2 linked regions of the Kluyveromyces lactis genome follow. The protein of the gene in region 2 purifies or fractionates together with the protein of the main gene of each other region. This does not show direct contact. Links are inferred from orthologs where the notes say so. Each region holds a gene or a part of one and is shown on either strand. Other genes may lie near its edges.

Region 1 (4,473 bases), on a different chromosome or scaffold from region 2:
AAACTAGAATAACCCGAGACTCTAGCGATCAGAACGGATCTTCGTACGGGTCTTCTTCGTCATAATCATCATCCTTTTCAAACTCATACACAATTGCACCACCACTGTTGAAAGATTGAGCTTCAAGATATGGCAATTCCACTTGGTCTTTTGCCAGCTTCTGTTTCTCCGAAGTGTTCAAGTTGAATGTTGTTAAACCCTCAAACATTTCTGGACTTTCGTCCGTTACTGGTTCTTGTTTCTCTATCACATATTCATAATCATGTGTTTTCGAATTGATTAAGAACTTATTCTTGATAGCCCTACCGGACTTTCGCTTGTTCGTTAGAGTGATATAATATGTGGGATTGTTCAAGTTCTTGGGTATCACAAATCTACTTAAATCTGCATCCAAATCGTCCTCGTCTATGGAAGTCTTCGGAGTAACTTCTATAACCGTATTAGCAATAAATTGCAAGAGTTGGATCGCAGTTGGATAGTTCTGGAGTTCTGCTGGACGCCAGGCTGGTATCGACTGATGATATGTAGCCAATATTGTCACAAATGGCGATGCAATGGTAGATATGAATTGTGTCAAGCTTTCAGAACCGATATAATTGAATGTATCAAAGATCACTAAATGCATCTTAGGAGCTTGTTCCTGTGGCTGCGGTAGGTATGGTTGTAATGCTGCAACTAGTTGCTGGGTGGTTTTCCCCGACGCATCTATGAATTGGCGTGCATATTTCGGTCTATTTGGAGTCTCAAATGATACGAAAACGATCGGCATTTCGTCTGGTATGTTATCTAGGAATTCCTCAACCACAAATCGGCTGCTTTGTGCCATCGTATCGGTACATAGTATTAGCGAAGATTGTTCCTTCAGTGAGAACGTCCTCTTCAATAGAACTTTGGGATTATTATTAGTAGAAGCCATCTCAGAGAATAAAGAGCACGCAGTATATTCGTGATAGATCAGATACCCTGAAAGAATGCTGTAACAGTCGAAATAGATGAAAACAGGCTACTCATAAGTACTAGTTCCCCGCATGAACCTTGATCTTATCTCATCTCATCGCCTGTCAAAGTGAATATTTCACCAAGCATTTGGTATGTGAAATTGCATATTTATAACGTAGATCAAAATAAAAACACATAAAAGTATCCAATAACGGTCCCATTTAGTGCACTTGAAAGCGCAAACCAGTAAAAGTTAGATAAACTGTGGTTATTAAATATCTGGGTTACAATCGAGGGGGTATTGAAGTGGTTGATATAACTTTATTGGATATCTTCCCAACGTTACCCTGATATAAAATATTCGGGTAACAATATACTCAAAGTGTTTGCGTAAAAATACTGTAAGCTCATATACAGATACTGGTCAGTAAGTGTGGAATGATTGGAAAGATAAGGTTTTTGAAGAGCATTTAGTGGGTTTGAAGTCAATTTAGCGAGTCTTCATTGACTAGCAGTTAGGTAATTACTATTTGTACGATTTTCTGCGTTTAAATTTTGTCAGAATCGACCGGTACTGCCACTTTTATCAGAACCAGTTGTGAATAGAACCAATCCTGAAGCAATGGTTGTTTACGGCCCACAGCCTTTGACACGGCTTAATACTGAGACTAGACATGGGTTTGAAGAGCAGTATTCAAGTGAGAAACTCTTGGAGGCGCATGCTAGCAATTTTATATTTTATTACGATGATAAGAGGCATCGAACCAATGGGAATCCAGTTCCTGAGGAAGTGAAGCAAGAGGATAAGGATGGATATTACCAGCCAATTCCTGATTGGAAAATAGTTAAGGACAGGCAGAAGACAGTTGCAGCAGCATTATTACTATGTTTGAATTTGGGAGTGGATCCTCCTGATGTGACTAAGACTCAGCCATGTGCAAGACTTGAATCATGGGTTGATCCCCTTGCATTTCAGGATTCTAAGAAAGCTATTGAACAAATAGGAAAGAACTTACAGAGTCAATACGAGACGCTATCACTACGTACTCGTTATAAACAGAGCTTAGATCCCTGTGTGGAAGATGTGAAACGCTTCTGTAATTCATTGAGAAGGGCTTCGAAAGACGAAAGAATTCTGTTCCATTATAACGGTCATGGTGTACCACAACCAACACCATCTGGAGAAATCTGGGTTTTCAACCGTGGATATACTCAGTATATCCCGGTTTCATTATATGATTTACAAACTTGGCTAGGAGCCCCTTGTATATATGTCTGGGATTGCAATAGTGCTGGTAACATTGTATCCAACTTTAAAAAGTTTGTTCAAAAGAGATTGAGAGACGATAGAGAAGGCAATCATGATATGGCATCACCTTCACCTACAGAAGCATACACTGAATGTGTGCAATTAGCGTCATGTGCAAACAACGAATTATTGCCCATGAACCCTGAATTACCCGCAGATTTTTTCACCTGTTGTCTAACGAATCCAATAGAAATATCTGTTAAGGTGTTTCTAATGCAATCTCCTTTGAAAGACACCAAATATTCCGTGTTCTTCCAAGATAACGATCCTAGAAGAAAAGAGACGGGTGTGAATGAAATGCCTAACATTACGATACCGGGGAAATTGTCTGAGCGTAGGACTCCCCTTGGTGAATTGAATTGGATATTTACTGCTATTACAGATACCATTGCATGGACATCATTACCAAGAGCACTATTTAAGAAGCTATTCAGACATGACCTCATGGTCGCGGCATTATTTCGTAACTTTTTACTCGCCAAAAGAATAATGCCTTGGTACAATTGTCATCCAGTATCAGACCCAGAGTTACCAGACTCAATTGCTGATCATCCAATGTGGAGATCGTGGGATCTAGCAATCGACGAAGTATTGACCAAACTTCTGGAAAGTGCTCATGCTAATGCAAAGAATTCAAACTTCCCTGAATCACAGTTTATAAGCCAACCAAACGAAGGCAATGAAACCAATGACGGGCTGCAATCGAAAAATACTATTGGAAACCTGAGCTCCATGTCATTGGTAAACTTTAGTTCAACAGCACATACCTCCAGCGGTAATTCAGCCTCGCACCCGACTACCTCTCAACAACAACAGCAACAATTTACGAAATTTTTTGAGCAAAATTTAACCGCATTTGATTTATGGGTGAAATATGGGGCTAATTCAAGACATCCACCTGAGCAGCTCCCCATAGTACTACAGGTTCTCTTATCACAAGTCCATCGTGTTAGGACTTTGGTACTGCTATCTAGATTTCTTGATCTTGGACCATGGGCTGTATACCTATCACTTTCAATTGGGATATTCCCTTATGTTTCCAAACTGCTACAAAGTCCTGCCCATGAGTTGAAACCAATTCTAGTGTTCATTTGGGCTAGAATTTTTTCTATTGACTATAAAAATACCCAAACAGAACTTATAAAGGAGCGTGGATACCAATACTTTGTAAAGATGCTTGTACCTGAGTTTGGTGTCCCAAGAGGACATAGTGTCAGTAGTGCTGGAAGTCCCTTGACTATGAATGTACCTGCAAGTTCTTCAACACAGAGGTACCAGATGTATCAACAGCAGCAGCAGCAGCAAGCATATAATAACGCGACGTTATTATCTAACAATAATACTACAGATGAACAAAAGGCAATGGCAGCATTTGTCCTATCGTGCTTTGTTCGCGATTTCCCCCTTGGTCAAAAACACTGTTTCAGCACTGAATTAGTAAACAAGTTATGCTTCTTTATCGAAAATTCTGAAGTTCCGTTATTAAGACAGTGGTGTATCATTTTACTTGGTCAGTTATACATTCACAATCCATTGCATAAGACATTATGCCTCGAAAATGAAAATATGAATACAATCATAGAGTCTTTAAAAGATCCAATTCCAGAGATCAGATGTGCTGCGTTATTAGCAATCAAGTACTTCCTTTCTGAAGAAGACGATGTTAACATTATCTTGAAACTCCAACAAGAATTTCAGCAACAATTACAACAATTCCAAGCGCAGCTGCAGCTTTTGCAATCTCAACAAAACCAGCAGCAGCAGCAGCAACAGGGAAATCAACAGAATAGTACGCATCACATACAGCAACAATACTATCAAATTCAGCAACAATCCCAACAAGTCCAAACATCAATGAGTCAATTGCAAAGTATTAATTTACGCAACCTCAAACAATTTGAGATTAAGACCATTATCACAACCCTTTCGCTAGTCAACGATGGTAGTCCAATGGTACGGAAGGAATTGATCATCTTTTTATCTCAAGTTGTAGAAAGGTATATCGAATTTTTCACTGTAATTGCTTTCACTGAAATCAGCACAGAAATAGTTGCGCTAGAAACGAATGGCCATGAAGACGACTCAAGAAATCCTACTTCAGTTGGTCATGGTTCCATATTCAATACCGTGTGGAAAGCGTTATTAATTTCTTCTGAAGACCCATTTGTCGAAAATAGAGAACTTGCAGGAGATGTAGTAGATTACATCCTCATTAAGCTAAATGA
Region 2 (4,438 bases):
ACCAACCCGTTGATGAAAGTCGCCGATTTACCAAGGCTGTGCCAATTTGTGAAACAAAAAGGTGGTTCAAGTTCCAACTGTAAAATCGTCGTTGATAACACCATGATGTCAGGTTTGAATTCCAACCCTTTGCAATTCGGAGCAGATGTAGTATACGAATCCGGTACGAAATACCTCAATGGACACCACGATATCATGGCTGGTGTAATAATAGCCAAGAAGGACGTGGCTCCATCCGTATATTTCGTCATTAACAGTACCGGTGCCGGTCTATCTCCGATGGATTCATGGCTCTTGATCCGTGGTCTCAAGACCTTATCTGTTCGTCTTTACAAACAACAGATAAACGCAATGGTGCTCTCGCACTGGCTACAAGATATATGCGGATTCAAGCCTACAGATAATAACCAGCAACTAAAGACAAGGTTTGTTGGGTTGGAATCTCACCCTCAGTTCGAATTGCATAAAAGTTTCAACAATGGTCCCGGTGCAGTGCTATCCATTGAGACTGGCGACCTAGCACTAAGCGAAGCCATTGTAACTTCTAAAAGACTAAATATATGGGCCGTCACGGTATCGTTTGGATGTGTCAACTCGTTGATCTCCATGCCATGCAAGATGTCACATGCCTCCATCGATCCAGAACTACGGAAACAAAGAGCGTTCCCTGAAGACTTGATCAGACTCTGTTGTGGGATAGAAGACGTCAAAGATTTACAATATGACTTACTTGCCGCATTCGAGGAAGCAGGCTTGATCGAATTGCAACAGAGAGGTAACGATACATATTTATTGAACAAGAAGAACGGACACATTGCAAGAAACAATATCGGAGAAACATACCAAGAAAACTACAACGTTTACGACCAATTTTTCGGTCAACGTCTCGTATCAAAGACATCTCATCTACACACTGCAAAGTTGTAGAACGGATAACAACCAAATCTACTCTATAATATTCAATACGTAAATCTTCTAACTGATCCATTTCATTTCATCTCATCTCAAACTCATCTCCATTGCCAACCAATAAATAAGGTAGAAAAGAAAAGGAATCAGCGATCACGTGACTTAGTCTTCCTTCTCTGTTACCCGCCCTTTGTCTCTCCTTAGAAAATGAAAGACCCGTAATCTCAAAGGGGGAAAAAGTGATGATTTACCCAGATGACTGCGTAGCCACAGCGACCCTTTGGTAGTAAGCAGCAGCGAGAAAGCTCGGAAAAGTAATACGGAATTTTCATCGGATTATTCAATTTTTGGAAATCAATTTTCACAGAGAGAACAGAACACTGGATTCGATAAAAACAAAAAAATATAATTTCCTTCTTTTTAGAAAGTCACTTCTCCTTGACTCCCATAATTTATCTAGTTCTTTAATCATCCTGTAAAGATCTTGTGATAGCGTAAGGAATTTCAATAACACAACCATTAGCAGGTTTCTGGAGCACTGGGGAGAACTTGTTGACATTCGGTTATACAGTTGTCTTTTTTTTATTTTTTGGTCAAAAATTTTTTTACGGAAGGAGGCCTTTTTTTATTACTACTGTTTCTACTAGTTTTGTTCTAATTCATTATATTTTAGGAGGACGAAAAGACGGTATTTGCTTCATTCTTTTCACACTATATTGTATTCTATTTGGTTTTTCAAAGATTGTGTTTTGAATCGTGAAGAGAAGAGTGTAATTCCATTGTCTGTCTGAGTTATAAAGTATAAGATAACATCCAGGGGTTTTTTTTTTTCTTTTGTCGTTTGAATTTTACTAGATGAGCAGCGTTCATTCTCAGACCAGTGAGGTCGATGTGCCAGCTGCGTGTACTGGAAAACTGAAAAATCAAGCAGAAGTTGGAAATGGGTCTAGAAATGGGTCTGAGACGTCAATAGCATCGATGAAATCGGCGAAGTCGACTATCACTTTTGAGAAGCAGAAAGTCGTTCCTAGGGCCAGAACCATGTCTGTACAGAGTGTTTTGAGTTCGTTCTCACTCCGGAGTATGTTGAACACTAGAGAGCATGGTGGGCCTCAATCGCAGAACTGTGATGAAGAGGAATGTACCAATACGATGCACAATCATAATACCAGTAATAATAATAATAATAGTAATAATAACAGCAGCAGTATTGCAACGACGTTTATCAATCCCACTCAACAGATACAGTCGCCAGCTATGGCTTCTACGATGGTCAAGAAACGCAACGGGGTTGCGGGCAAGAACAAGCAAACTTTCCTGTCGGATTTACCAATGACTGAGTCACGTTCAAGAATTGGCCAACAGTTACCTTTTAACGATGATAAACGGAAATCTGCTAGGGATTTATGTAAACAGAGATCGTCTTCGAATACTAGTTCCAATTCGACCGCGAATTCGAACTCGAATTCGAATTCTAACCTGAATACGGCAAATCCAGACTCTAAGACGAGAAAAGGGTCATCTCGTGGTTCCGAAGATGCTGCCTCAGATACTACTACCAACAACACTAATAGTAACTCTGAAAATGAATCCAGTGGCGACGCATCTCCAATAGATTCGTCTCATGACTCCGAGTCTGAAGAAGATGATATTTCAAAGCAAAACAAGTTGACAACAGATGCGTTGAGGAAACTTTCGTTGCTGCAGCAAAGTAAGGGTGCTGTATGTAAATCAGTACAGACAACGCCGTTGACCTCGAGTGAAAATTTGGTGGATCCAAAAGAACCTCTGACTCAACTTAAGTTTGGTGGAAAAAACGTTATTTTGGATACAACTGCTACCATTCGTAAGAACTCTGTAGCAATGGAGGCATCAGGGGATCAAAACGAAGCTCGTAAGCAATCTTTGGAAATTATTTCGCAACCAACTGGTGTAACTTTACATGGAACGTCTCATAATTTCAACGAAGCTAAGGGCATTTGTTCCAATAGTACAGCCTCATCTAACTCGAAGAGACTCTTACAGCAGATTAACGAACCGAAGAAACCGATGTATGTTCCTGCAGTGTTGAGAGACATTTCTGAGACGAACATAAAGATAGAAGATTTGAAGTCACATTCTCCTACACCATCTGATGTAACACAAACAACTTTACAAGCTGTGCTGTCTAAACATTCGAACACTTCCAATTCAAATTACGCCAGAAGTATTCATTCTACCACATCATCCATTGTGAGCACTTATAGAAACAAAATTCAATCCTGGCTGTGTAATGAAAGGGATCTGCAATTACAATTGATTCAACCCACCAAAGAGCACTGGATTCCAGATTCCAAACGTCATTCTTGTAAATACTGTCACAAAATTTTCACGTTCTGGGAAAGAAAACATCACTGCAGGCATTGCGGTGATATCTTTTGCCAGCAACATGTCAGACACTGGCTATACTTAAACCCTAACGCCAAGTTTATCATTGGTTGTGGAGGGTTAGGCGTGCTATCTAAAATATGTGACAGTTGCTTAGATGAATATGACACTCTGGTTAAGGCTGGACCCGCCAAAGATCAGGCAGAATTGCAACAGCAGCAGCAGCAACCACCTTCTACTTCTACTTCCTCAACTTCTTCATCACATTCTGGTTCGATTCGTGAAAATGAAAATGAAAATAGTGGAAACCATTCTAACACACTACTCAATTTGCCAAAACCCGCAACAGGAAGAAATATAGACGAAGCATTAAATGGTACTGAGGGTAGTGTAAACCAACGGCAGCACTTGGAAAATATTGTAGGAAGTGTTCCTGCTGATTGGTCTTGGAGCAGTTTCTAATTTACGAATGTTGCATCAAATCTTTTGGTTTTCATCACCTCGTTATCCTTATTACTACACTTCCTGATCCATTTTCGCCTATGCTTTTCCCATTTTATTACGTTTATCCAGTTTATTCCCTAACGGAAGATAGAGCCTAAAACCCATTTTTTTCCATTGCAGACACAATATAAGGGGGATTTCTCGTCACCCTGGTTATTTATTGTTTTCGGTATTTTCAGATTTTCCAAATTTTTCTCTTTTCTATTATTATTCGTTATTATTATTGCCATTATCACTGTCACTATCTGTAACATCGCTCGTTTGACTCCTTATATTTTCCATGTTCCGTTTGCCTTTTTTGTTGTCTCTTTTTTTCATTTCATTTATTTCGCTCAGATCATAAACTATATTATATCGTGTCCCGTTCCAGTGTGGAAAATCTATCCCTACCATTATATTATACCATCCTTAACGTTAATCAAACGAAGGAACTGAGTAAAGCGTCTAAAACCATATGGATCCTTTTTTGTTTTCTCTAAATTTCATCACCATGTTACCATTTACAAAACCATTCTTTTTCTCTCCCAAACATAATAAGAATAAGAATGATAAGAGTAATAATAATAGTAGTATTAATTATTAATTTATTTAAATGTTCTAGTTGACCTAGTTCAATATATATATATATATATATTCGTACATATATACTCGAATAAGA

What was found. The genes of interacting proteins can lie anywhere in the genome.
Region 1: the proteins of PIB2 (region 2) and KOG1 purify together in Saccharomyces cerevisiae (affinity purification with western blotting; 5 studies listed by BioGRID, with this or other methods). This does not show direct contact. The link is inferred for Kluyveromyces lactis from reciprocal best matches to the Saccharomyces cerevisiae genes PIB2 and KOG1.

The regions. Positions count from the first base shown.
Region 1 is NC_006037.1:828,873-833,345, reverse strand, and holds the start of KOG1 (ubiquitin-binding TORC1 subunit KOG1), read left to right. Parts: upstream 1-1,561; coding exon 1,562-4,473. Other genes in the region: Elongator subunit IKI1, read right to left, coding at 29-916. UniProt on the Saccharomyces cerevisiae protein: Component of TORC1, which regulates multiple cellular processes to control cell growth in response to environmental signals. Nutrient limitation and environmental stress signals cause inactivation of TORC1.
Region 2 is NC_006039.1:1,484,295-1,488,732, reverse strand, and holds PIB2 (Pib2p), read left to right. Parts: upstream 1-1,764; coding exon 1,765-3,738; downstream 3,739-4,438. Other genes in the region: cystathionine beta-lyase STR3, read left to right, coding at 1-927. UniProt on the Saccharomyces cerevisiae protein: Functions as an intracellular glutamine sensor that directly activates the TORC1 signaling pathway, to promote cell growth when glutamine is available. May play a role in repressing NPR1 activity independently of TORC1 signaling.